Linked DNA regions of Cricetulus griseus. The protein of the gene in region 1 interacts with the protein of each later gene in a pairwise test. Links are inferred from orthologs where the notes say so. Each region holds a gene or a part of one and is shown in the gene's direction. Other genes may lie near its edges.

Region 1 (3,978 bases):
GTTTCCTCATACAAGTGTTGAACATTAACTGAGAAAATGTCCATAGACTATTGGGCACTAGTGGTTTGTGCAGAACAATATAGATTGGTTCCGTCAGCTCTTCCATACCTAGGGCCTAAAGAGGTGAGAAAGGTGTGAGGCTGCACATAAAGGCATGGGCCCAGGGTGTGGAAGCCAGCCACTGCCTGCACTCAGGCCTAGCCTTCCTGCAGGTGGAGCTGAAGAGCCAAGAAGCACAGAGTCTGCAAGAGCAGCGAGACCAGTGCCTGTCCCACCTGCAGCAGTATGCTGCTGCCTACCAACAGCACTTGGCTGCCTATGAGCAGCTGACCTCTGAGAAGGAGGCAGTGCACAAGCAGCTTCTGCTGCAGACACAGCTCATGGACCAGTTGCAGCATGAGGAAGTACAGAGCAAGATGGCAGCTGAAATGGCCCGCCAGGAGTTGCAAAAGACCCAGGTGAGGCAGTTGCTGAGGCTGGGCCCCAGTAGGAGGACCTTGCCACCTCTGTACCTTCTCACTCTTTCCTGGCCCCTTAGGAGCGCCTGGAAGCCACCAGCCAGGAGAACCAGCAACTCCAGGCCCAGCTGAGCCTCTTGGCTCTCCCTGGAGAAGGTAAGACCACACAGGAGAGGGGAGACCCTGACTGACTCGTAACAAAACGGAGTTGATGTCTTTGGAGAAGCTTTGAGAATGCTTGGCATTCTCTAGTCAGTGGCTGGGGTACAGAGGTGGGGTCCTGAACTGTCTTCCCTTAGCCCACTCTGTCTACCTGTTGGGACTGTTAGAGGAGACAACCTACTGTCTGCCCCCAGGAGATGAGGAGCAGGAGGAGCAGGAGGAGGAGGCTCCTCGGCCTAGTCTGACCATCCCAGAAGACCTAGACAGTAAAGAAGCCATGGTGAGCTGGGTTCTGCCCTGCCCCTTCTCTTCCCTGCCTCTCTGGTCCCTTGAGTTCTTGCCCTCTCATTTCTTATCACATTTGCCTGGGAGCCAGTGGTCAGACACTCTTGCATCTGAGAATAAGTGCTCCCTCTCTACCTTCCTGCCCCTTTTATCCTAAACATCTCCCTAAGAAGTACACCTCTTCCTTGTGTGCAGGTGGCTTTCTTTAACACAGCTATAGCCAGTGCTGAGGAAGAGCAGACCCGGCTACGTGTACAATTGAGAGAGCAGAAGGCACGTTGCCGAAGCTTGGCTCACTTGTCCACCCCAGTCCAAAGCAAGATCCCCAGTAATGTGAGTGATTCTGTGTCTGAGGAGAGCAACCAGGCCCTACATGTAGCCATGGAGAAGCTGCAGGTCAGTATGTCTTTGAGAGCTGGGAGGGTGGGGCCAGCCAGAGCTCCTAAGTCTCTGAGACCTCTGTCTTGGCTCCAGAGCCGCTTCTTGGAGGTCATGCAGGAGAAAGTGGAGCTCAAGGAGAGGGTAGAGGAACTCGAACATTGCTGTATCCAGCTCTCTGGAGAGACAGACACCATTGGTGAGGCGGAACCCAACCTAAGGCAGTTGAGGTACACAGGGACAGATTGGGAGAACCTCAATGTCTGAGCCTTGTCTACCTGTCTCCCATACCCACAGGAGAGTACATTGCCCTCTACCAAAACCAGAGGGCAGTGCTAAAGGCTAGGCATTTGGAGAAGGAGGAGTACATCAGCAGGCTAGCCCAGGACAAGGAGGAAATGAAAGTAAGCCCCACACTTCTGTGGTCTAGGCCCAGCTAGGCTAGGCTAGGCTACTCAATTTGATTGCCTTTCCCTCCAGATAAAGCTGCTAGAGCTGCAGGAGCTGGTGTTGAGGCTTGTGAATGAGCGCAATGAATGGCAGGGCAAATTCCTGGCAGTCTCTCAGAACCCTGTTGATGTGCCCACCCCAGTGCCCACAGGCTCCCAGGGATTTGGAGCTGCTGACCAGCAGGGTGGTGAGTAGCGCCTTTGGCTTGGGCAGGCACAAAGGGGAGTACTCCCATAGCATGTAGAGCCCTGACACCCCCCTCCCCTTTCTCTAAAGACCTTAGGGAGGTGAGCCTGGCCGACAGTATAGAGCCTGCACAAGGAGCGCCGGGGGCACTCACTCCCCCTGAGAACCCCACTGCACAGCAGATCATGCAGCTACTGCGTGAGATCCAGAACCCTCAGGAACGTCCAGGCCTGGGCAGCAATCCTTGTATCCCCTTTTTCTACCGTGCTGATGAGAATGACGAAGTGAAAATTATGGTTGTCTAAAAGACTGGCAGCCAAAGGTTCTGCCCCAACCCACTCCCTCTTCAGTCACCCTTATCCTTATAATAATAAGGTCAGACTCCACCCCCTCAAGGGGCTGAGGAAGTAGCTCAGTTGGTAGAGTGCTTGTCTGCCGGGTCCCACCCCAGTACCTCTGAACTGGGGGTGCTGAGAATTCGAGCACTTGGGAAGAGGAGGCAGGAGAATCAGCCACCCTGGGCTACACTGAGCCCCTGTCTGAAAAAAAAAAAAAAAAGATCAGACTCCCTATATTAATGTGATATACAAACAGGGACAGGCCCTGTGCCCTCTTGGCCAGGGCGATTTTACTTTCTAAAGTCAATGATTGAGCAGACTGCCTCTCTGGGTAGCCTGGTGGCTTCCTGACCAAGCTCTCTTTAGTTGGAGGACCACAGTCCTTACTCAAGACACTGGGGCAGAACAGTTTGGCAGCATTTTCATGGCCAGGTGCAGCACAGGCTGGTAGATGCAACCTAGCAATCAGCAAGAGAGCTCCTTTGTCTTACCATCTTTCATTACCTTCCCTCCTTCTCCTTCCCACCCCTTTCTTTATTTTCTGATAGTGTCTCATATATCCCAGACTAACCCTGAGCTCACTACACACTGACCTTGTGACTCTCCTGCTCATCACTGTGCCTGGTGTTTTGCAGTGCTGAGCAGGCACTCTACCAATTGATTTACACCCCAGCACTACCTACTTTTTTCTTAAGTGTGGGAACACTGGGGATGGAACCCAGGGCCCAGCACATTCCCAGACCAACTCCCATCTTCTTAAAGGCACTTTAGGGAGTGGGACTGGGCAGCATTTCCATGGGTTCCCAGGCAGTTGGGCTAACTGCCTCTGGAAAGCATCCCACTTAGGAGGGCTTCCATCTTTTTAGAGGCACTTTGGGACAGGGAAATTGGGTACTATTCTCTCAGGCCTTATGACAATTGGGGTAACTGTATGCCAAGCAGGATAGAGGCTCTTGGGGGGGGGGGTTTCCCCTCTCCTGGTGTACATATTGTACCTGTGTACCATTTTGTATATTCTGGGGTAGGGACACCCTCTGTATTATAGTAGAGGTTGGAGCTGGCAAGTGGGGAGGAGATTCTAATAATCACTTGGGGCTGGGAAACTTATTTATTGGTAGTGTAGGACAGAGGACAGGAGGCGGAGATGGGGTTGTAGCATCCTGCTGATGCAGCTCCTCTTTATTTTGCTTTTTACTTGGGAAATAAATGGATTTAGCCATACTTCTGGGCCTAGGATGTTTCTGTCACTGGATTCTGGGGTTAGCCTCAGGTTGGCACTGAGCAGGGAATATGTCCTGCCAGCAGAAAGCAGGTCTGTGTGGAGCCCAAGGTCTGAAGTGCCTAGCAGGGCTGATTGGCACCCATCATCTGTATACTGCATACTGAAGCCGAGGGATCCCAGAAGGAGTGCCATGGGGCTACACAGTCAAGCCTGACCTATATGTAGGTGGAATACCTAAGGGTGCTGACTTCCAAGCCAAGCCTTTTCCATTCTGTCGCCCCTTTCCCCTAGCCTATCCATACATTGGGCCTGTTTTGTTCTCCTTCAGGCTGCAGGCCCCCTCAGCTCACAGGACCTGACTGAGTTCATGGTCCTGCCCCCTAAGAGTGGAAGCAGTTCATAAGATGAGGCCCTGATAAATTCACCTTATAGCACCCTAGCAAAGGGCTCTTCCTCACCCTGTGTTCAGCGCCCAGTGTTTACACCTTCCCCTCTCCCC
Region 2 (2,621 bases), on another chromosome or scaffold:
TAGGAACAATATTCTGTAGTGTACTATAACAAAGTGCAGTGGGTGTACTCAGCTATACATGTTTAAGGAGATAGAAAAAGGAATTTTAAATATCCCTAAAGGTTAAAGTGATATATGTGTTAATTATGCAAGTTTGCTTACTGCATATTGTGCTTGTGTATAAAGACAAACTCTTATTTGTGTCAATTATATGTGTATATTGTGTAAGTGTATGCAAATTTATGAGAAGGGTGTTGTGTATCCTGCTCTATTGTTCTCTACCCTATTCCTTTGAGACAGGATCTCTCACTGAACCTAAACTTGGGCTGGTTTCTGGCAAATGCCTGTAATTCTCCTAATTGTACCTCTCAGAGCAGGGTTTACAAACACAGACTATGCCATTACATTTTTTGTGAGTCTTAGGGATTTGAACTAGGGTTCTCACACTTGCACTACAAATGCTCTTACCCATGGACTGAGCCAATTCCCATCCCAATAAAAAAATGTTTAAACACACACCAATTATGCTATATAATTTTATTACTTCCAAAACATTCAAATTCCACTTGGGCTGATTTCCAGTGTCTGTAATGACACTTTATATTCTTCCGTATTGGATCTGGACTCAGGTTTGGTAAAGATTTGCTCTATTAATTTTTCAACATTCCAATCTTAAACATCACATTATCTTCACAATGCTCGCACTTCCAAAAAAAAAAAAAAAAATCAAAAACTCATTACTGTCTCACTCTTTTGTAGAAAGTCCAAGCTCTCTAGCCAGTCTACCCCCTTTCACACAAAAACTCAAAGGTGCTCTAACTTGACTTCACCATCTCAGCTGCATCTTTCTACTTAAACTTGCTCCTTCCCCATCACCATCTCTTTCTAGCTCACCCAGGAGACCTGGAGATCTTTCCCATTAGTTTAGTGGTACCCTCCCTCAGACCCCAGTGGTTGGGCTTTGCATCTCAGCTCCTATCCAGCCCTACCACCCTTCTGGCTTGCCAACACGCATGCGCAGTGTCAAGTCCGCCCCGCCCGGCCGCTGCTGCGGAAGGCACAGCTCTCAGTAAAGCGCACTTCCTCTGCTGGTGTCCACTGAGGGAGTGCTGGTTCCAAGAGCTCCAAGTCGCAGCGGTCCTGCTCTGATCAGAAGGCGCAGACATGTCGGAACAAAGTAAGGACTTGAGCGACCCTAACTTTGCACCTGATGCCGCCAACTCCGAGGTGCAGGAGAGCTCTGAGATTCCGGTGGGGGTCCCTCCTCCCACATCTCCAGCCGCGATCGTCGCAGAGGCACCAGAAGCTCCTGAAGGCCCTATGGCAGCCCGGCAGGCCTCGCCGCCGCCTCCAGAAAGGTTAGAAGATATTGACCCTAAGATTCTGGAGCAGGCCATAGAGGAGGGCCGCGCCCACAATCCCGATAGCCCGGTCCGTCAGCTGCCAACACCACCCGCCCCGGCCCAGGTGGTGCAGAAGGCGCACGAGCTCATGTGGTACGTGTTGGTCAAGGACCAGAAGAGGATGGTCCTCTGGTTCCCAGACATGGTGAAAGATGTCATGGGCAGCTACAAGAAATGGTGCAGAAGCATCCTCCGGCGCACCAGCCTCATCCTTGCCAGAGTTTTTGGGCTGCACCTGAGGCTGACCAATATCCACACGATGGAGTTCGCCCTGGTCAAAGCCCTCAGCCCAGCAGAACTGGACAGAGTGGCGCTGAACAACCGTATGCCCATGACAGGCCTCCTGCTCATGATCCTGAGCCTCATCTACGTGAAGGGCCGCGGGGCCAGAGAGGGAGCCGTCTGGAATGTGCTGCACATCCTGGGACTGAGGCCCTGGAAGAAGCACTCCACCTTCGGAGACGTGAGGAAGATTATCACCGAGGAGTTCGTCCAGCAGAATTACCTGAAGTACCAGCTTGTTCCCCACAGCGATCCTCCTGAGTACGAGTTCTTCTGGGGGTCCAGAGCCAACCGTGAAATCACCAAGATGCAGATTATGGAGTTCCTGGCCAGGGTCTTTAAGAAAGATCCCCAGGCTTGGCCCTCCCGCTACCGAGAGGCTCTGGAGCAGGCCAGAGCTCTGCGGGAGGCTAATCTTGCTGCCCACTGCCCCCGCAGCAGTGTCTCTGGTGATTAGGAAGGTCCCCAGCATGTTGATAATTTCTGACCCATACTTGGGCTGTATAAGGGTGGGGTTGGGTCATTAGAGTATTCCACATTCACAGTGCAGTATTTCATGTGTAACCTTTAAGTTTTCCTTACAGTGCTTTTGTACCTTTCAATGCAATATATTCATTTGTGTTCGCTTGGAGCGTGTTAAGGATTTATGCATGTGCGTTTACAAGTAAGCAAGTGGATGCTTTCACTTCTGTGCTTTTTTGTACAAGAGATGTGCTGTGCTGAACCTGTGAAATCCATTGAGATGTTGTGTATCTATTCTTTGTATGAAAGTGATGATCTGTATCAACATAAAAGCCCAGGAGAGTTAGGAGGTGAGCAAAGCAGGCCTGACCAGAGAAAGGTCAAGGGCCCTCTTATATGAACTCAACTGGCACAGGAAGCATCCCTGTGGAATGGACTGATTTGAACTGGAATGTTCTCAGTGTAGGCACTTAGCACACCCTACCAAACATGTAT
Region 3 (4,002 bases), on another chromosome or scaffold:
AAAGCTGTTGAACTTTGATTTGACCTTTAAAAGCTAAATCGGCCTATAACTCGGTCATCATGCGCCCACGTGCTGGCATTATAGCTGTGGGCCACCACACTGGTTTATATGGAGCTGGGGGCTGGACCCAGGGTTTCATGTTGCTAAACAACTGTATCAACTGAGCAAGAAGAGAACTTTTGAATTAGCTATCATCAAACCTGAGGGAAGGGATAAGAACATAATAAGATCTCACCAAAAGTTAAGTTCTGTTTCATTTAGTAGATTGGCCATACGCAAGCGGAGAGCAGCTTTGGGCAGAGGATAATGATGACTTGTATGAGCGTCTCAACATTTCACCTTTTTCCCGGGCTGGAGAGCCCCACGAGCATAGGACTAGAACCGGACGTTTCTCTTACTTGTCTAATCCTGAAAACGCTGTGGCAAAAAGCAACAGGCAGTCCTAAACAGAAACAACCAGAACCAGGTCTGCAAATTTGTTTCCTTCAGCAGAGAGTCGCTAACTGAGGTCTTCCGAAAACCAGGACACCACGAATCCACACACAGAAACACCTTAGCGCCTTGCCTACTTCCGAGATCAGAGTCCTATTATGAGGGGCCCACCGAGATGCGTGAGAGAAAATGACTCTCACTTCCCATTGGCTGAACTTTCTGGCGTTTAGATCTCCAATACATTTTCGTTGGTTACTATTGCTGTCACCTCCTTTCGCCACACCCACTTCCTGGGCCGCTTCCAGCAAGAGCTGGACTAGAGTGCCTTACAGTAGTCTGGCGGTCTCCCATTTCCCCACATCCTAGGCGGAGGCTCTCGCCACGCTCCCCTCGTCCGAGAGCCCCCAGCCCCGTAGGCTCGAGGACCGGTCCCCAGAACGTCAGTTCCCTCCCCTTATGGTTGGGGCCCCACCCTCAGCCCGAGACAACGCCTCTGCAAGTTAGATCCCCTCCTCCAGCTCTTGAAAACACTTCTACCTGCCGTCCCGCCCTAACTTGTGGCCCCGCCCTTATCCTCAAGCCCCACCCCAGGCAGAACAGGTCCCCGCCCCCTGCCCGCGGTCCCGCCCCTCCCTACCCAGAGGGCGGCGACCAGGCGGCGGCCGCCGCCGCAGGAAGATGCTGGAAGCCAGCGGGCGCGCACCGCGGAGGTGCTGAAGGGACAGTTCCCGTGGCAGAACTTGCCCCTGAACGCGCGGGGCACATAGGCCATGGAGACTATCTGGATCTACCAGTTCCGCCTCATCGTGATCGGGGACTCTACGGTGGGCAAGTCGTGCCTCCTGCACCGCTTCACCCAGGGCCGCTTCCCAGGGCTGCGCTCCCCTGCCTGCGACCCCACGGTTGGAGTCGACTTCTTCTCGCGCCTGCTGGAGATTGAGCCTGGCAAGAGGATCAAGCTGCAGCTCTGGGACACCGCAGGGCAGGAGCGCTTCAGGTAGGGAGGCACCAGCTACGAGCTCTCGAAAGTGCTAGCGCTCAGTGTTCGCTTCCCCTTCGCCCCTCCCCTTCCAGGGGCTACTTCCTCCTCCGCAGTTTCTTCTTTCTTTAGCGCGGATTCCTGCCCCTTTCCCTTTCTGTTTCCTTCCCTGTCCGAACCAGGGTCGCCTAGTCTTCCCCAGCTCTATCTGCTCCTCTAGGCATTTGGGTCCCTTTAGGTCCACCGCTGCCTTCTCCCGAAACTCGACTTCGCACACACGCCCTTATTCAACGACCTTCCTCCTAGCTTCCCCTCTTCAGCCTTGACCAAGCCTCTTTCGGGCCAGGAGAAACGCCTAGTGGGGTTCCCTGGTCTGTGATAAATCTTTAGTTCTCAGCAAGCAGAAGTCCAGCCGGGGTTGTGGCCTGGGCTCCCTCGGTACGGTTCACAGAGAGATGCATGCGGTAATTGGTTTGAACATCTGACAGCACCAAGTGTGGTCATCAGAAAATACTGGGTCATGACCCTTGGGAGTAGGTTCTGGAAAACAACTAAATGCAGATTCGGAGTCACCGACACAACTGTGTGTGTGTGTGTGTGTGTGTGTGTGTGTGTGTGTGTGTGTGTGTTTGTAGGGTGAAGTTGCCTTTAAAAGTTTGTCATCTTTGGTGTTTTGATGTAAAAAAGATAATATTGAGGTTTGTCTGCAACTTTCCCTTTATTTCATTGATCGGTACTTAACGTTCCGGCATGATAACAAGAGAAAATACTTTTCTAAATGGAGAAAGAGGGTCTCAAGTAAATAGTCTCATTCTAAATGTCCACTGAGGAACCTGAAAGATTGTACAAAGAGGACTGACGTTACAGGAACTGAATTCCTTGGATATTTGAGATCATATCGCATTTAAAGGGTATTTACAGTTTCTGGGATGGAAGAGTGCTTTATTTTACAGCGAGGTAAGGAAATTGGTAATGTACTCTTTCGTTTCTTGAAAATCACCCGATCAACTGAACTCCTGTAGGCAAGCATTTTCACATCTCTCAGTAAGTACTCTGCTTGTGAAATAAAGAACTCCATTAAGGAACTTCCCAAACATGGCTTCCCCTACTCCCAACCAGCATCCATTCCGGATGAGTGCAGCCTACATCTGTAGAAAGTCCAACACTGAAAATTTTGGCTTCCATTCCTGGGTCTGACACTAATTCACAGAGATAATAAGGGAACTGCCTTGCTTGCTTGTATATTAGTTTTCTTACTTTTGTGTGGTAAGCCTAGCTTTCACAGGTGTTAAAGGTTTTTTATTTTGTTTAGGATTCCATGAAGACATTTGTGTTCCCTTTTCAATCAGCCTCCTCTGATTGAAACAGTTTGTAAAACTTGCTATGCCTCATCTGTAAAATGAAGATATCCCCATGATTTCTAAGATTCTTTCCGGTTCAACCACTCTTTTGAGGTGGGCTACAGCGTCTTCCATTTGTGATCTTACTCAGGGTTGAAATTTGAGATATTTCAAGGGGGGGGGCATTTACCGGGAGTGCTTGCTCTGCCCTAAAGGTAGTAAAATCTTCCACGACTATTTACTTAAAAGTAATTCCTCAACCTATTGACAGGAAAATAAAGGATCATTAATCTGTTAGAATGCAAAGACCTTTGCTAGTTGACAGTTTTGTAATGCCTTTGAGAAGAATATAAATAGCAATTCATTTTATATATACATTATTAAAACCACCCAGTAACTGCCCCCATAATAATGCAAGGACAGTTGGAGAATGTTTACAATGAGTCATACTTTGTTTTGCTTGGCTCTTTACCAATGATATATTCGTAAATACATATTTCAGTAGCTACCTACAATACTTGCCTTTCTAGCATTTAGCAAAATACTTCACCATAAAACTGCATTCAACAGAATTATGATTAAATCATCTCACATCTTCTAGAAATGCAGATATTTATTTTGAATCATGGATCTCCTGGCATGTTTTCTTACATTCAAGGGTATTTGGACCTATATGCCTGTCATTGCAATCAGCCCCTGAGGAATTTGTGGGAACTATTTTATTAGAAGATTTATTGGTCATTAGTCATAAAGCAAAAGAGGAGCTTACTTTAGAGAGCTCATGATGTAGTTTGAAAGCATAAACAAATATATTACAGAATAATGAAATGTCCAGCTGGTAATTATCATAACTAGTTTTCCTTTCAGTATTTAAGTTAACATTCTAGTGGATTTTAACCACTTGAAAAACAAAATGGGACAAGATCAGCTGAGTATGATGACACTTGCCTATCTCTCCAAGGTTGAAGCAGGAGGATCTTGTGTAGCCAACACAGACTACACAACCAGACTTGTCTCAAAGGGGAACAACACTGGGCATGGTAATACAAGCCTTTAATCCCAGTATTTGGGAAGGAGAGGTAAACAAGTCTCTGAGTTCTAGCCAACCAAGTTGTGGGCCAACCAAGTGCTACACAGTGAGACCCTGTATAAAAAAATAAAATAATAAAATCAGGGGTATTGATTTGGTTTATACATTACTTAGGATTCCTAGTAAAGGCCACTGTGTGTCTAGGAAGTAGGGAAAGGGAG
Region 4 (4,204 bases), on another chromosome or scaffold:
GGCATCCTATATGTTTCTAGAAAAATGAAATGAGGGAAACTTCACAAAAATGATAAAACTTGCCCTGATACCTGAAGGACAGATAGAAATGGAGTAAACAAATCAAAAAGAAAAAGAAGTAAACAAATCAAAAAGAAAGAAGACATAGTAATATACAAGTAAATGAATAAATAGCACAACGTGTTGATTAGACAATTTGGGACTGAAATTCTGGGTTCAATAGCTGTGTCATCTCGTCTTAAAATTTCTGTGCATGTGAGTGTGCCTGAATGTATGAAGACGTACCACACACAGGTGCCAAAAAAGTCAGAAGAAGATGTCTGATCTCCTGGAACTAGAATTACAGACAGTTGCAAGCTGACTAACATGGGTGCTAGGAACTGAACCCAGTATTCTGAACAAGTATTCTTAATCACTGAGCTACTTCTCCAGTCCAGAGCTGCATCATATTAGCAAAGGTTATTTTTTTGTTTGTTTTGCTCTTTGAGTTTCATCTCAAATTCTTAAAAATATGGGTCATATTAATATCTATGTCTGATTTGTAAGGATTGAATGAAATCATATAAAAATACCTTTCCTCATTCAAGAAAAGCCAATAGCGATATAACAATGAACAGGAGTCATTTTGTGGAAAAATGTGGCTTACTAGTCTTTTTTAAATTTGAGAGAATACTCTAGGAAAAATAAAATCACATCAAAGTAGGCTTTAAATATTAGGGTAATTGTGGGGGTGAGGATACACTGACTAACCTTAGAAGAGGTAAAAGTGAGGGGAAGAGAAAGGAGGAGAGAAGGAAAAAGGCAGAGGGGTTAGAAAGGCAGAGACACAGAAAGATAAGGTAGAAAATGTTTTAGAGATTGGCCGAAACTAGCTACTCAGAATTCATTACTTGGAATTCCTTTAAAATGTATCAGTAGTTACTTGTTTGCCGCTCTTGACACTGCTTGGTAGCAAGAGCTTTGCACAATGCCTGGAGCACAGTAAATGATGATAAATATTTGTTGAAGGAATGAACAATAAGAAGAGAACCAAAACTCAATCAATAAATAATGCAGATTCATGCATCACTAAGAAAATATAGATTAGAAATAAACTGAAAAAAAAATCAGTTTAAATTTTGGACTTGAGAGTCTGAGAAACATGGCAGAACATTCCCATTTTCACTATTAGAAAGATTCCACATGTACAATTTGAGCTCCATAGAGGTAGAACCAAAGTTACAAAACTGTAGTTCATTACCATATAAAGAGCCATAGAGAGTCACGTGGTAGTAGCTGCCCCGGAAGTAATGAGTCAAGGCAGTCAGCATCATAGTGGGCAAACCGGAAGGAACTGAAGCTGAGTGGCGCGCAGTTGGAGAAGAAAGCGGTTCCTGTGGGTACCTTTGTGAACGCTCGCTGAGAATGAAAAAATATAGTGACTGGTCCCGTGGGGACAAACACTATGGAAGGTCTGGCTATTCCTCTCGCGAGCCACACACAAGCTACAGATAGTAAGTTCAAAGAAATATTTGATTCAAATTTTAGATGTCTGACGTGGCCACTTTGGGATTAACTGTTTTAAGAAAGGGCGCCGGGCTACTGAAACCAGTTTGCCATGGCATTTATCATTACTTGAGCTTAAATCTTATCTAGACACGGTTTAATCACTGATTGTTTTAATAATGTGATGATAAAATAGTATTTAACTCATAGTTGCCATAAATAATTGAAAATGGATAAAATTACTTAGAAAAGTGCTTATGGTCACTACTAACGGTCCCTGGTCAGGTTGTTCTGAATAAGCTGTAGAAACCATACACCACAGAATATTGGGTTTTGGTTTGGGTGGGGTTTGTTTTTTGGGGGGCGGGGTGGTGCTTGACATTTAATCCCTTCGGTGTGAAGGGAATTAGTAAAATGATTGTTAAGCACAGGAAAATTTTTAGTTATCCAAACAAGGCGTTAGTAGCAGAGGGTCAAAATGGAGAATATTCCCGAACTTTACATTTTAAATTCTTTTAAACCCCTCGTGCAGCAAGCGGTTTTTCTGAGCGGGTTCTCAAGTCCTGCCCCCTTTTCCTATTGGCTACTGACCTAGGTTTTTCCGTTTCTCATTGGCCCTCAAGCTTTGGGCCCGCCTCATGGGATAAAGCTGTCCTGTAATTGCAACTTTTGATTTTAACTTGTACCAGGGCGGGGAGCTGGGCTGGGGTTGTTTTATTTGTGTTGTGCTGTTTTGTTAGTTTATTTTTGGTTGGTTTTTTGTTTGTTTCTCTCTTTTATGCAAAGTAAACAGTTTGGAAGTAATTTAAACAGATGGATGGAACCAGTTGCAACTGAAAGGATTGGCCACTTAAAATTGGAACTTTGAGGGGGTTTTAACACTAGGATATAATGGGCGGGTTTAAAAATCTGTGTCTTTGGCGGGTCTCGTTTTCTTTGTAAACATTTCCTCCTTCTGCAGCCAAAAGAGCCAGACACGTGAGGAGGTACTGACACCTGCCCTGAAGGAGCATGCCATTTCAAGTTCTCCAATGGCCATGGCTGTGGTGAGTGTGTGACACCATTGAGTGTTGAGGAACTAGGACATGTGCAGCAAAAGGGATGGGAGGCAGGAGCTTGGACATGTGAGCAACTGGCGAATCAGCATCTGGCCCGCCAGCCCCTGGGGCGGGACTTGCTCCCCTCCTCTTCCTAGAAAAGATGCAGGAAGGAGGATGGAGGCTAAGTCATCTTTGGCTTACAGTATCAACCTTTCTGTTGGCGCTTTAAAAATCAGAATCTCCTGATCACTCACAAATGGCAATTATTTTTAATTCAAGGAATAGGACTTTCTCAGTAAAAGTGAAGGGCAAACAAAGTTATTTAATTGGGGATCTTGTGAGAACTCTGAGGCCTTTCATTTCTTGGTTTTTGCAATTCATTTACAAATGCCCATGAATGTTTATATAATGTAAGAAAAATTTCTAAGTGGGACTGCTTAGACTTTCAAGTCATACTTAAAAAAAAGAAAATAACTTCCAAGCTTGGTCATAAGTTGAAACTTAGCACTTACTCAGTGACTGTCCACCAACACCTTGTCTCCACCCACACCCATCACCCACTCTCGAGTTACTATTCCTGTGGTAGGTGAATGTTTTGTAAAATACTGAATTTTTTTTTACTTAATTGCCAAGCAAAGATTCCAGAGTTATATGTGAAGAGTGAAAAAAGGGGAGATAAATATGTTCTAAAGACGTGGATCTAAAAACTAGCTACAGTTTGCTTTTAAAGCTGAAAACATTTATGCCTTGATCTTTAAAATACTCAAATTTATATGATAGCTGATTTTGCATATAGCTTTATAGTGCCTATTTTGAGCTTGCAGGATTATGATTTACCATTGTGAAAATTTGCTCATAGGATTTTAAAACTCATGTGGATCAGGCATGTAGAGCTGCTGAGGAATTTGTCAATATTTACTATGAGACAATGGACAAAAGAAGACATGTAAGTTTTATAGTCTCCCTTGTTCTTTGTTTAATACCATTCATTTGTTTAAATACCATTTATCTGACCTACATAAGTAATTGCTGTATACACATTCTTTAAGACCTGTTTATACTGGTTTACAGTTTGTTTATACTTGTTTATAGTTTGGTATTTTGTTTTCATTTTTCTTTTGGGGTATTTTGGTTTTTTGGTATTGGGGTTTTTTGTTGTATTATTTTTTTTGCTTGGTTGATTTTTTTTGAGAAAACTGCTACTTGAGAAGCTAGGGAAAGAATCTGGGAGAAAGGAAGAATATGATCAAAAATATATTTAAATTTAAAAATTATTTTAAATAATAAAAATATAACATAGGATATCTGATCACATTGTGAACCCCAAGATTGCATTATTTATTGGAAAAACCTGTTTCTAGCTGTGGTGTGGCTCAGGCTTAGCATATACCTTTAACCCAATTGTTTTCTGCTTGCATATTGTAAACAGGATTAAATAAGGTCAACCATAGGTCAAGAGGCAGAGCAACCAACCAGTTGACAGGAAGTAAACATAGGATTATCAAGAAAAAAACATGTAGAGTAAGAGGGAGTCAGGAAGATGGATAGAGAGACACACAGGAAATAGAAGGGAGGGACATTCCTTTTGAGGCATGTTGTTTGAGAAGGCATAGGAGTTAGGGGAGGCTTCTGGGGTATTGGCTGAGGAGGAAGGTCAGCTGGGTGTATTCTCTGCCTCT
Region 5 (4,230 bases), on another chromosome or scaffold:
ATCTTTCCTGGGAGATGGCTGGTTTGCTCCTTTTTTACTGTGGCCCACATGACTGCTGCTCCCTTAACTGTGCAGCTCCCCTTGGGTCCATCCATGTAATACATCCATCCCTAGTGTGATCTTGTTCTTTTTGTTTGTTTTTATTTTGAGACAGGGTTTCTCTGTGGCTTTGGAGGCTGTCCTGCAACTAGCTCTTGTAGACCAGGCTGGTCTCGAACTCACAGAGCTTCGCCTGCCTCTGCCTTCCGAGTGCTGGGATTAAAGGCGTGTGCTACCACCACCTAGTGTGATCTTGTTCTGAGGGATCTAGTTCCAGCTGTGTCCTCCAAAGCCAGGATATGAACTCAGGGCTTGTACTAGGTGCCTCACAAGCTGTTGGCAGGTTCTCAGCATGTGTTCAGAATGAAGACATGAACAAAAATGGGGTTGTCTTGGTCTGTTTGGGATGACAGAGAGCACCAGGTTGGATAATTTTTCAAACTAGGGATGGAACTTGAGACCTCTCTATCATTAAGATGTGGCTCTGTTTCTCTTTCTTATGTTGAGGCAGGGCCTTGCTAAGTTGCCCAGACTAGCTTTCAGATCTCTTTGTAAGCCTAGGCAGCTCTTGAACTTCCAACCAACCTTCCTGCTTTAGCCTCTTGGGGACCTAGGATTACAGACTCTTGTCACCAGGCCCAGTTCAGACTGGGTACTTTAATTAGCAGAGTGGCATACACCCTATGGCATGTGGGTGATTAAATGATAAATTGTGTAAGTTGGTTCTCTCCACCATGTGGGTCCTGGGGATTAAACTTGTTTCAGCAGGCATGACAGCAAGAGCCCATACCCACCCAGCCATCTCACCAGTCATGGGTACTTTATAAATAGTAATTTGTTCTCACAGTTGCAGATTTTATGCATGTTTTATCTTATAGAATATGTGAAGTTTCAGGGGCTGGAGAGATGGCTCAGCTGTTAAGAGCACTGACTGTTCTTCCAGAGGTCCTGATTTCAATTCCCAGCAACCACATGGTGGCTCACAACCACCTTGAATGAGATCTGGTGCCCTCTGCTGGCATGCAGGCAGAAGACTGTATACATAATAAATAAATAAAATCTTAAAAAAAAAAAAAAAAAAAAAAAAGAATATGTGAAGTTTCCCCAAAAGCAGTGGCAGAGGAGTTCTCACAAGGGAGTGATCCAGCTGCTCTCAAGATAGGTCCCTAAAGAAATACTAGGGTGAGGTGTAGTAGTTCACATACGTTCTTTTTTTGGTTTTTCAAGACAGGGTTTCTCTGTGGCTTTGAAGGCTGTCCTGGAACTAGCTCTTGTAGACCAGGCTTGTCTCGAACTCAGAGATCCACCTGCCTCTGCCTCCCGATTGCTGGGATTAAAGGCATCTGCCACCAACGCCCAGCTCACATATACTTTTAATCGAAGCACTTGGGAGGTAGAGGCAGATGGATTTCTGTGAGGCCAGCCAGGGGTACATGGTAAAACTCTATCTCAAACACAAACTGAGAGAGGTTGGCCAAGTTGCCTCTCCTGATTAATTCTGGGAGAACTGGAAACCAGGGGGCTTAAGGCAGCCCAGCACTTGAGTTCAATCTGCATGACAAGGCTTGTTTTTTTTATTTTTCACCTCCTTTGAAAACAAGAGCTACAGATTTACAGTTCTGCAGGGGAGCCTGCTTCACAGGCCAGCATGCTCAAGGTTATGTAAATCATAACAATGTCTGTCTTCAGAAAAACAGTCGAGGTATAGGAACATCACCCTATTCTGTAGAAGCTGAAGAAGGTCCCAGGCGTTCTTGTGTTCCTTCCCACATTTGTTTACATTCCAAATTCCCTTTTTGAGAAATATTAACATGGGATGTTCCCATGTTCATGTCAAATTCATTATATCCTCACCACTCCCCAAAACAGTCTGGATGCCAGCACTATAGAGTTGGGACAACAGATCTGTTCTGGGTTCTAGACAGCTAACATCTCATTTTATATTAGAGACTGAATGTAAGTGAGTTCTCCAGGGTTCCCTTCGTAGGGGCACTAATCTGTGAGGCTCTGCTTCATTACCTCAAAGGCCCAGCCTTCAAATATAACCCTAGTGGATGTTTTAAAAATGATAATAGGGGTGTGGGTTGCCACACAGTCTATTACAGGCAGTTAAGGCTAAGACTATAATGCAGAAAAATTGCACTCATTTAAGCTTTAGTCCAGACATCGACTTGATCGTTCATTGGCTGCCAGGTAAAACTAATGATTCTTCCAGAACCAAATGACAGTACTAAACCTGTATTCAAAGAAGCTTAGTTACTCGTTATTCTTGGTCATGCCCCATCAGAACAAATGCAGTTAGCTCTGTTCTTCGTACTTCATCAGTAAAGTCACCTGCAGAAAACACAGATCGCTCTGGTTTAGGGAAGCTTGTGCTTTGTGGCCTTTATCTCACTTTCGTGACACAATGTGTCATCCAGTACACAGAAGAGTTGATCTGCGTTTCTTTGGGGGCTTTAATCGCCACTCATGGTCCCAGGGATTTACTTCATCTCAGCTCTGACCTGGGACCCCCACTCCTTTTGAGTTAGCACGCCTGGCTTTTGTCCGGCCCTGGCCCCTCCTGGTGTCACCAAGGTTTGTTGGCATTCCAATCCACCGCATGACACTGAGATCAGCAGCCGTTTCTTCGAGGAGCTAGTGCGCAGGCGCACGTGGAAATGGGATGAAGATGCGCCTGTGAATGAGTTACTACTTGAACACCGGGTGGAAAGAGGGCTCTCGAGGCTGAGGTTGCCCGAGCCATGCAGAGCGCAGGCGCGCGGACACCTTAGTGAGACGCGCAGGCGCACAAGTGACGTCACGGCGAGCGTCCGGCGGCCGAGTGCTGCGGGAATCTGACGCTCGGGCTGCGGGTACTGGAGATTGTGCAGCGAGCGGCTCCGTCGCCATGTTCGGCTCCAGTCGCGGCGGCGTGCGTGGCGGACAGGACCAGTTCAATTGGGAGGATGTGAAGACCGACAAGCAGAGGGAGAACTACCTAGGCAACTCGCTGATGGCGCCAGTGGGCCGCTGGCAGAAGGGCCGCGACCTCACCTGGTACGCGAAGGACCGCGCGCCGTGTGCCGGCCCGAGCCGTGAGGAAGAGCTGGCGGCTGTGCGCGAGGCGGAACGCGAGGCGCTGCTGGCCGCACTGTGAGTTTCTGGGCTGCGGGGCGACTGCGAGCTCCGGGGATGGGATCTGGGTGGCCCCGGGGCGGGGCTAGATGTAGGCTGGGCAGGGGAGGAAGGCTACGGGCTCATGCCCCTTGACGTGTACCCTCGACCCTCGCAGAGGTTACAAGAACGTGAGAAAACAGCCCACCGGCCTGAGCAAAGAGGTGAGTCTGGGGTGCGGGTTCAGGGTCCTCAGGGCTGGCGGGGCTCTATCTGTACCGGCCTAGAACCTCTCCCCACCCCCACTCCCCGCTTCCTCAGGACTTCGTAGAGATCTGCAAACGGGAAGGAGGCGATCCTGAGGACAAAGGCGTGGACCGGCTGCTGGGCCTGGGCAGCGCCAGGTGCGGCGGGTTGGGTAGAAGGGGGCAGGACTGGGCGGTGGTCCAGAACTGTCCTCAATGTTCTGTCTTTTGCAGTGGTTCCGCAGGCCGTGTGGCACTATCCCGGGAAGACAAAGAGGCTGCCAAGCTTGGGCTGTCAGTGTTCACGGTAAACTGTCGGCCCAAATGCTCAGGATCCTGGGCTTGGGGATGTCTGGGGAGACGTGGGGCGGGACTCCCTGGGTGTCCCTCCCTACAGCTGCGCTTCTATATAGCACCACCGCGTGGACAGCGAAGGCCCAAGCACCACCCCATCTGCTGCCAGGAAGAAGCCTCGTGCTGAGGACAAGGCCGAACTGGAGTAAGTTGAGGAGTCTGAATACTTATTCTACCTACTCTGTGTGTGCGCTTTTGAGTCTCTTGCTGGCATCCTATGTGAGTTGTGCACACTGCACTAAGAGTGTATTCACAGGAGATACTGGGTGTCCAGACCCACAGGTATACTGGGAGGTTAAGTGCCAGGTCTTTTTTTTTTTTTTTTTTTTTTTTTTTTGATGGAACCAAGCACTGCCCTTAGTTCTTTTGGCTTTACTGAAGTTGTTGGGCCTCCACCTCCAGGCTGGATGTGCCTGCCCATCCAGATGCCTGAAAGAGGGAGTGTCTCTGTAGCTGCCATTGAGGGCCAGCAAGGGTGATGGTTGCAAACAGGAAG
Region 6 (3,500 bases), on another chromosome or scaffold:
AGGGGGTGCACCTAGTTGAACAACTAGGTGGTGAAGACATGAGCTGTTCCAGAATCTGAGCAAGAGCATTACAAGCAGAAGTCTACACTGAAGGTCATTTGCCAGGATATTTCATGGTGCTCCTTGCCTCTGCAAGTCATGCCTGTAAGCTCAGCTCTCAAAGAAATTCGTCTTCATTCTGAATGAAGGCAACCACTGGAGGAGATGTTCAGGGAAATGACTTGTAAAGGATTGCAGTGGATAATGTTTATAGTGAGTAGGCCACATTGAACATTTATAAAAGAAGACATGGAGTGAAAACTCAACAGTCAATATAGGTGAGAAGTGATTGTGATTAAGAAGACTAACAAAAGTAAAGAGAAGTAGCAGATGGTAGATGACTTGGAAGGTACAACTGGTGGGGCTTACTAGACTATTGGATTTGGAGTTGTGAAAAAAGGGGAGGAAGATATTTGGTCCAAGAAATTAGTCATATAGGAGCTACCATTTTCTAAGACTAGAAAATAATGCGAGGAGCGGTCTCTTGGGAATAAAAATTGGGAATTCATTTTCTCTGCATGTGACCTTTACAGTACTCTTTAGGCAATGACGTTGAAATGCTGAGCAGACTTGGTTGAGGTTCAGGAAAGAGATAAAGCCATGCCAGAGGGAAGTTTGGGGCTTTTTGTAACTATGATGAATCAAAGATATTTGTGTTAAAATTTGAAAAGAAAGTTTGGAGAATTTGGTGCTCTTTGAAAGCTGCTATTTGAGCTTCGCAGAGGCAGCCTGGTGGGCAGGTACTCATGAGTACTAGCCTGAGTTTTAGTGCTTATCTTAGGTTTTACTAGTTCATTTGAATGTAAGAGATACCTTACAATCTCCAGGTGAATTAACTATTGACTCATACTGGCTGCTTTAACCCTGGGTAGATTCACTTAAAAGTATACGAAAAGAGAAAAACTTAAAATGTAATGACATTTATTTCTTTCCATTTTAAAAGCTGTAATTTTGTGTTATTATGCCAAAATGTAGTAAGCACTTCAGGTGGATAAATTGGCTAATGGATGTTTTTCTACCTACAAAAGATTCCAGTAGCGCCAGCAGTTCCTGCAGTTAGTTTAGTTCCACCAGCGTTTCCTGTGTCAATGCCGGTTCCCCCTCCTGGATTCAGCCCAATCCCTCCACCTCCTTTTCTACGAGCAAGTTTTAACCCTTCACAACCACCTCCTGGTAAGGAGTTTATGTCTTCCTGTTTTAACTGCTTAGAATATGGTTGGTGTTCTCGGTCTCAGTGCCATAGAGCAGGGTACATTCTCCAGACTTTTGATCCATTGAGTCACAGCTTTCATCTGCTTTTCTTTTGACTCACTGTTTTCTAATTTAATAGTGACTCTACCTGTAAAAATTGCAAAGAAGCAGATTTATATAATTTGGTCATGTGGTCTGTAGAATCATAAACATGCCATTATAGTTTAAGATTTATTCAAGAACACATCATATCATCTAAAGTTACCAAAATGTTTTAACCTAGCAGTAAAGAGTGTACTGTGTCAAATAAATGAAATGGTTGACAGGTGGATAGCATTATTTTATCTACTGTGACCGGTAGGTAGCTTGAGATAGATTTAGCACTCTCCCTGTGGTCAGCATTCCAACAATAGGTTGATTCTAGCTTATTACACTGATCTGCGATGCAGAGCATTTTACAAGACTTTGAGTGAGTGAGTGAGTGAGTGAGTGAGTGTGAGTAAATGGAATGCTATGATCAGGATCACTGATTTATCTGGCTTATAGGAATCACGTATTACAGAAGTTATGAATGCTTGGCCTTAGCTTATGCTTGTCCCTCTAGCTCTTATAACTTAACCTGCTTCTCTTCATCTATATTTTGCCTTAGGGCTTCTTACCTTCCTCTGATTCTGTATGTCCTATTCCATATCTGACTGGCTCGTGGGTGCCTGGCTGGCTGGCCCAGGGTATCTCCTTCTCTTCCTCCTCTCTTCTAGTTCTCTCCTGTGCATTGATTCTTCCTCCTACTTATTCTCTCTGGGCACCAGCTCTGCCCTCTACTGCCTAGTTATTGGCTGTTCAGCTTTTTGTTAGACCAATCAGGTACCTTAGGCAGGCAGATCAACACATCTCTACATTGTTAAGCAAATACAGAATAAACAAATGTAACACACCTTTATATAGTTAAAGTAATATTTCTCATTATAAACAAATGTAACACATCTTTACATAGTTAAAATAACATTCCAAAACATCCCCATTCCTCAGGAGGTTAAAATAGAATGACTTAGCTCACAGGCTCCACACCAGCTGAGTAGCAGAGTAAGGACCCCATGGTAAAACAATAAGAAAATGTGGAAGTTCATTCACAAATCTTGAGCCCTTTGATTTAAACATATGCTGTTTTATTTTGGTCTTTTTTCCTCCCATGTAGGTTTTATGCCACCTCCGGTTCCCCCACCTGTGGTACCTCCCCCTGCAATTCCACCAGTAGTACCAACATGTGAGTTACTGATATAAAGTCTGTTTTATCCTTGAGAGAGACTTAGTGTGTTTGTGCTCATTCCTGTAAAATGTTAGTTTTCCAACAAATGCATGGTAGAGAATTCTGAAAATTAATAGTATCTCAGAAGTTATTTGTTTTTCCTCCGTTGTCCCAAAATGTATTTCCATAATCTACTTCCTTTGGTCAAGATTCCCATCATTGCTGTGTTGTTTTGTTGTTTTATTGTAAATGTCTCATCTAGAGCCATGCTGCCCAGTTCTCCTTTCCGCTTCATAGTCTTGATGACTACCAAGTCACTCCTCTGGGTACAAGATCCCTGTAAGGTGGAAGTTAGCACCAAAGATTTGCTTAGATTCTGAATCACCTTTTTCTCATAGGAATGCAAGCAAAACGATTATGTCATACTAGTGTCTTTTAGTTCATATTATGAACAAAACAGACATTAGTTTTCATGGCAGTCTGAGAATTGTGGCACGCAGCAGGAAGTATAGAAATTACTTGTGTGCCCTGTCCCCACGTCTGCACAACTTGTCTTATCATCATTCCCCAAGAATGAGACTTAGAGAAGATGAATTTATATGTTCATTATTATTCGTATGCATACTTTGTATTAGGGTTTGTTTACCCTTGGTATTTTCATACATATTTAACAGTGTTAAGATTGAGGGTATTTGGGTATTGCAACTCGGCTGTTGAAAATGTTTACCTGTTTGGTTTTTAATGATAGTTTTTGTTTATTGATTATTGTGGGTTAAATCTGCCGTTAATTGCAAATTGGTTGTCTTTCTAAATAGTAATTCCTTTGTTAGGATTTTTTTTCAAATGTAAAGAAAACCTTTACCAGTTTATGGTACTTAGTTACCTTGAGGCGCAGTGCACAGGAGAGTCGGGGTAGATACCATACCTTTCCCCTGTGGTGCACAGGAGAGTCAGGCTAGATACCATACCTTTCCCAGTTGAAAGCATGCACAGTGCAGAGTGGATATGACTGGAATGCAGGGAG
Region 7 (4,277 bases), on another chromosome or scaffold:
ATTTCTGATTAAAAGCACACTCTATGGAACATGAACCATGGAGAGCATAAAGAGTATATTAATCATAGAGTTTATTACGACGGGAGACCGAGAAATGGAAGAACAGAGTAGGACAGAGAGAGAGAACCATTTCTTTTTGTTTTTTTTTTAAGATTTTATTTATTTATTATGTATACAACATTCTGCTTCCATGTGTATCTGCACACCAGAAGAGGGCACCAGATCACCAGATGGTTGTGAGCCAGCAACCATGTTGCTGGGAATTGAACTCGGGACCTCTGGAAGAGCAGTAAGTGCTCTTAACCTCGGAGCCATCTCTCCAGCCCCAAGAACCATTTCTTTAAAGTCATGTTCTTAGATATGGGAATGGATCTCACAGCTAGTTTTGAGCCAGGGTGGCCTCCTTTTATTATGGGAATGGCACCTAATTGGAGGTCAACCTTGTTGACTAAACATTATCAGAAACTTTCTTGGCCACCTGAAACTTCAATGAAGGTACAGAATTTTCTTCACCACAGTTTCTTTCTCTTTGTTTTAAGTTTATTCATTTTTATTTTGTACACATTGATGATTTGCCCTGGGTGTCGGGTCCCCTGGAACTAGGATTACAGACAAGTTGTGAGCTGCCATGTGGGTTCTGGGAATTGAACCCGGCTTCTATGGAAGAGCAGCCATCTCTCCAACCCCTTCCCCACAGTTTCTAATAAGCCTGGTTAGTACACTGTCTTCCAGTTATACCGGAGGCAGCGCTCCTTTAGCTAAATTCTACTTTGTTTTGGTTTTGGTTTGGTTTGGTTTTTCGAGACAGGGTTTCTCTGTAGGTTTGGAGACTGTCCTGGAAACTCGCTCTGGAGACCATGCTGGTCTCGAACTCATAGAGATCCGCCAACGCCGGGCTAAATTCTACTTTGTTTAACTTAATATTTCTAAGCAAGTTTATTAGTAAATCCTTTACAACATCAATTTTAGTATGAGTTTCTCCTGCAGCGCCAGCACTAGGAAACTGAGTCGTGAGAACAGCGAGTTCGGGCCAACACCCGTTATGTGAAACCTTGTCGCAAAACAAAACAATCTGAGAAGGGTTAAAAAAACAGCCCAAGGCCCTCTGGTAGACAAGGCAGAGATGACTCAGTCAAGGTTGCATTTAACCTTGTTAACTCAGTAATCATGGCGGCATATGCCTGTAATCCCCCAATCCAGTTTACTTGAGAGGCGGAGGCAGGTGGATCTTAAAATCAAGCATGAGTTGTTGGGGAAGCAGGTCGTCCCTTGGAAGCAAAAACCTAGCAATGAAGCACAGAATCGGGGGACAAGATTTGAGAGCGCAACCCCATGAACTTCCGGCTAGCTACGGGGCCTGGTCGCCAAGCTCTAGACTTCCCGGCGTAGGGCGCGGCACCAGGGCGTTCGCCGTTACGGATGTCTTCATCTCCCAATGACCTTCAGCGCTCGTGCTCTCTTGAGCGCTGATTGGCTGCCCTTTGAGAACCCGCCTCCCGCCTTCCGTTCTCCTTGGTAGAAGTTGCTGGACGCTCGTGGGTGTTTCGCAGTTTCTCGTCTTTGGACTCTGCTTGTCTGATCACCCAGGATGCCGCGTGGAAGCCGAAGCCGCTCTTCCCGGGTGGCCCCTCCGGCCAGGTGAGACCCTCCTCGGGGTTGGGGACTGAGAGCGGGCGGCCAGGGTGACGTTGCGTAGCCAGAGAGCTGCGAAGGCGGCGGGTGGTGAGACAGGGCGAGCAATGAGGAAGGGACCCGCTCCTGGGGAAGAGGGCTCCCCGGGAACAGGGACACCCTCGGTGCGCTACGGCAGAGGACGCTAAAGCGTGAACTTTCTCCTCCACTGCTTGGGGGGAAGGGCCTTAGAGGACATAGTCTACGAAGAGGCGGAGGAAGAATGATTTATGTGGAGGTCTAGAGGTGGTTTTCTTATTAATTTTGTTTCTCCTCTCTCTCTCTCTCTCCTCTCTCCTCTCTCTCTCTCTCTCTCTCTCTCTCTCTCTCTCTCTCTCTCTCTCGTCTCTCTCTCTCTCTCTCTCTCTCTCTCTCTCTTTTTTCGAGACAGTGTTTCTCTGTGTAGGCAGGCCTGGCTGTCCTGGAACTCGCTCTGTAGACCAGGCTGGCCTCAAACTCAGAGATCCAGCCGCCTCTGGCTTCCGAATGCTGGAACTAAAGGCGTACGCCACCACTGCCTGCCTGGGGTGGTTTTCTTTTACTGTGTGTGTGAGGTCCTCCGGCTAACCTTGAACTTGATAGGCCTTGCTAGTCTGCCTTGATTTTCCTGACTCCGCTTCCCTACGGCTGGGATTACAGGCTTTAAAGGTGTCTACAAGAAAATTAAATACCTGTGTATAGGCCCTTTCCTTCCACCACTTTGGTCCAGAATATCTTAACACTTAGTTGCAAACATTATTGAGAGATCTCCTCGGCCCACAGGAAGTGGGTAGATAAGTAGAAATTGTTGACAGCGCCTGGAATACAGATGTTTCTTTTTGGTCAAGTATTGGTGTGCACGCCTTTAATCCCAGCACTCGGGAGGCAGACGCAGGCAGGTCTCTGAGTTCGAGGCCAGCCTGATCTACAGATCAAGTGCCAGGATAGTCTCCAAAGCTACACAGAGAAACCCTGTCTCGGAAAACAAAACTAGACAAAAAAACCCCAGATGTTTCGTTTTGGGGAATATAATTGTAGAAAGTTAAAGATTGTTTCTGTAATGGGAGGGAGGCTGAGGACTGTATATGGTAAGAGATGCCCCATCTATCCCCAAGATAGCTCTCCATGCTCCTGTCTCCCTAAAGGCAAGGGTAGGCACCAGTTCAAGATAGCAGTGGTGCTATCTATAGAGAGACCCAGGCTCGGAAAAACTAAACGAGAAATAAGATTAGTAAAAGTTGCAGTTCAGAGCCGAGCGTTGGTGGTGCATGCCTTTAATCCCAGCACTCGGGAGGTAGAGGCAGGTGGATTTCTGAGTTCGAGACCAGTCTACAAGAGCTAAAAAAGTTGCAGTTCAGACAGGTCATTGTCCCTAAGTTTTTCTTTTTGGTTTGGATTGGTGCTTTGTTTTGTTTCTTTAATACAGGGCTTCACTGTGACCCTGGCTGTCCTGGAACTCAGATCCATTCACCTGCTCCTGCCCCCTGAATGTTGGGATTAAAGGGAGTGGGCCACCACACCATACCCAGCTGCCTTAACCTTTTGTGATTGGTAAAGTGAAGGTCTTGGTGTACATTCTGAGCATTACCTCATGACTGTTTTTTGGATTTTGTTGACTTTTTTATCGTTACATTGTGCAAGCTGGTCCCAAAGCCATGTGCTAAATGATCTTGCCCCCCCACACACACACACACTGAATAGCTGGGACTACAGGTATATTTTGCCAAGCCAATGCCTTCTGTATATTTTCTTTCTAGTTTAGTCAACCCAGAGTCCCATGCCTGCCCAGAAAATGCTCTGCTAATCCAAGCTCTAAATTGTTTTATGTCTGTATACCTGTGTGAAGGTCAGAGGGCAGTTTGTGGGAAGTAAACATCCTTGTGGATTCCAGGATTCTAACTCAGGTTTTCAGGCTTGGCAGCAAACACCTTTCACCAGTGAGCTCCCCAAGCATGAACTCCCCAAGCTCTAATCATATCCCCTCACCCGCAATAGAGTTTCTCTATGTAGCCCTTGCTGTCCTGGAACTCACTTTGTAGACCAAGATGGCCTAAAACTCAGAAATCTGCCAGCCTCTGCCTCTGGAGTGTTGGAATTAAAGGCGTGTGCCACCATACCTGGTTGAGTTCCCAATCTTTTTGTTTGTTTTTGTTGTTGTTACCATTTTTTGAGAGGTGGGTTTGTGAGCCTTGGGAGGCCAGAGGTGTCAGGTGGCCTGGAGCTGAGATTCACCATGGGCTAAGAGCAGTATGCAGTCTTTACTGTTGAGCATTTCTCTACCTTTTCAACTTAATAGCTGATTTTATTTACTTAGTATACAGTGATCTGCCTGCATGTATGCCTGCACGGCAGAAGAGTACGATAAGATTTTTTTTTTTAATTATTTACTTATGTATACAGTGTTCTGCCTGCATGTCTGCTTACAGGCCAGAAGAGGGCACCAGATCTCATTATAGATGGTTGCAAGCCACCATGTGGTTGTTGGGAATTGAACTCAGGACCCCTGGAAGAGCAACCAGTGCTCTTAGCCTCTGAGCCATCTCTCCAGCTCAATAGCTGATGATTTTATGGAGTATTGGAATAACTGTTCTTTAAAGATACTGTGGGCCATGTGGATACATGAAAAC

Evidence for each region.
Region 2: the proteins of Golga2 (region 1) and Ndn interact in a two-hybrid assay, tested with the Homo sapiens proteins (2 studies listed by BioGRID and IntAct). The link is inferred for Cricetulus griseus from reciprocal best matches to the Homo sapiens genes GOLGA2 and NDN.
Region 3: the proteins of Golga2 (region 1) and Rab39a interact in binary tests that used the Homo sapiens proteins (3 or more experiments, as listed by UniProt). The two-hybrid records come from large-scale screens. The link is inferred for Cricetulus griseus from reciprocal best matches to the Homo sapiens genes GOLGA2 and RAB39A.
Region 4: the proteins of Golga2 (region 1) and NTF2-related export protein 2 interact in binary tests that used the Homo sapiens proteins (3 or more experiments, as listed by UniProt). The two-hybrid records come from large-scale screens. The link is inferred for Cricetulus griseus from reciprocal best matches to the Homo sapiens genes GOLGA2 and NXT2.
Region 5: the proteins of Golga2 (region 1) and CUNH1orf35 interact in binary tests that used the Homo sapiens proteins (3 or more experiments, as listed by UniProt). The two-hybrid records come from large-scale screens. The link is inferred for Cricetulus griseus from reciprocal best matches to the Homo sapiens genes GOLGA2 and C1orf35.
Region 6: the proteins of Golga2 (region 1) and Scaf8 interact in binary tests that used the Homo sapiens proteins (3 or more experiments, as listed by UniProt). The two-hybrid records come from large-scale screens. The link is inferred for Cricetulus griseus from reciprocal best matches to the Homo sapiens genes GOLGA2 and SCAF8.
Region 7: the proteins of Golga2 (region 1) and coiled-coil-helix-coiled-coil-helix domain-containing protein 2 interact in binary tests that used the Homo sapiens proteins (3 or more experiments, as listed by UniProt). The two-hybrid records come from large-scale screens. The link is inferred for Cricetulus griseus from reciprocal best matches to the Homo sapiens genes GOLGA2 and CHCHD2.

Annotation. Positions count from the first base shown.
Region 1 is NC_048599.1:144,039,367-144,043,344, forward strand, and holds the end of Golga2 (golgin subfamily A member 2), read left to right. Parts: intron 1-212; coding exon 213-458; intron 459-538; coding exon 539-614; intron 615-757; coding exon 758-900; intron 901-1,100; coding exon 1,101-1,301; intron 1,302-1,379; coding exon 1,380-1,482; intron 1,483-1,580; coding exon 1,581-1,687; intron 1,688-1,763; coding exon 1,764-1,920; intron 1,921-2,009; coding exon 2,010-2,224; 3' UTR 2,225-3,478; downstream 3,479-3,978. UniProt on the Homo sapiens protein: Peripheral membrane component of the cis-Golgi stack that acts as a membrane skeleton that maintains the structure of the Golgi apparatus, and as a vesicle thether that facilitates vesicle fusion to the Golgi membrane.
Region 2 is NC_048596.1:135,134,389-135,137,009, reverse strand, and holds Ndn (necdin), read left to right. Parts: upstream 1-1,143; coding exon 1,144-2,121; downstream 2,122-2,621. UniProt on the Homo sapiens protein: Growth suppressor that facilitates the entry of the cell into cell cycle arrest.
Region 3 is NC_048597.1:165,444,173-165,448,174, reverse strand, and holds the start of Rab39a (ras-related protein Rab-39A), read left to right. Parts: upstream 1-1,202; coding exon 1,203-1,429; intron 1,430-4,002. UniProt on the Homo sapiens protein: The small GTPases Rab are key regulators of intracellular membrane trafficking, from the formation of transport vesicles to their fusion with membranes.
Region 4 is NC_048604.1:38,305,658-38,309,861, reverse strand, and holds the start of NTF2-related export protein 2, read left to right. Parts: upstream 1-1,404; coding exon 1,405-1,493; intron 1,494-2,446; coding exon 2,447-2,531; intron 2,532-3,384; coding exon 3,385-3,471; intron 3,472-4,204. UniProt on the Homo sapiens protein: Regulator of protein export for NES-containing proteins. Also plays a role in mRNA nuclear export.
Region 5 is NC_048600.1:73,266,675-73,270,904, forward strand, and holds the start of CUNH1orf35 (multiple myeloma tumor-associated protein 2), read left to right. Parts: upstream 1-1,430; 5' UTR 1,431-2,929; coding exon 2,930-3,174; intron 3,175-3,313; coding exon 3,314-3,359; intron 3,360-3,456; coding exon 3,457-3,539; intron 3,540-3,614; coding exon 3,615-3,687; intron 3,688-3,793; coding exon 3,794-3,879; intron 3,880-4,230.
Region 6 is NC_048595.1:284,508,845-284,512,344, forward strand, and holds part of Scaf8 (SR-related and CTD-associated factor 8), read left to right. Parts: intron 1-1,067; coding exon 1,068-1,212; intron 1,213-2,425; coding exon 2,426-2,494; intron 2,495-3,500. UniProt on the Homo sapiens protein: Anti-terminator protein required to prevent early mRNA termination during transcription. Together with SCAF4, acts by suppressing the use of early, alternative poly(A) sites, thereby preventing the accumulation of non-functional truncated proteins.
Region 7 is NC_048597.1:109,162,794-109,167,070, reverse strand, and holds the start of coiled-coil-helix-coiled-coil-helix domain-containing protein 2, read left to right. Parts: upstream 1-1,477; 5' UTR 1,478-1,588; coding exon 1,589-1,638; intron 1,639-4,277. UniProt on the Homo sapiens protein: Transcription factor. Binds to the oxygen responsive element of COX4I2 and activates its transcription under hypoxia conditions (4% oxygen), as well as normoxia conditions (20% oxygen).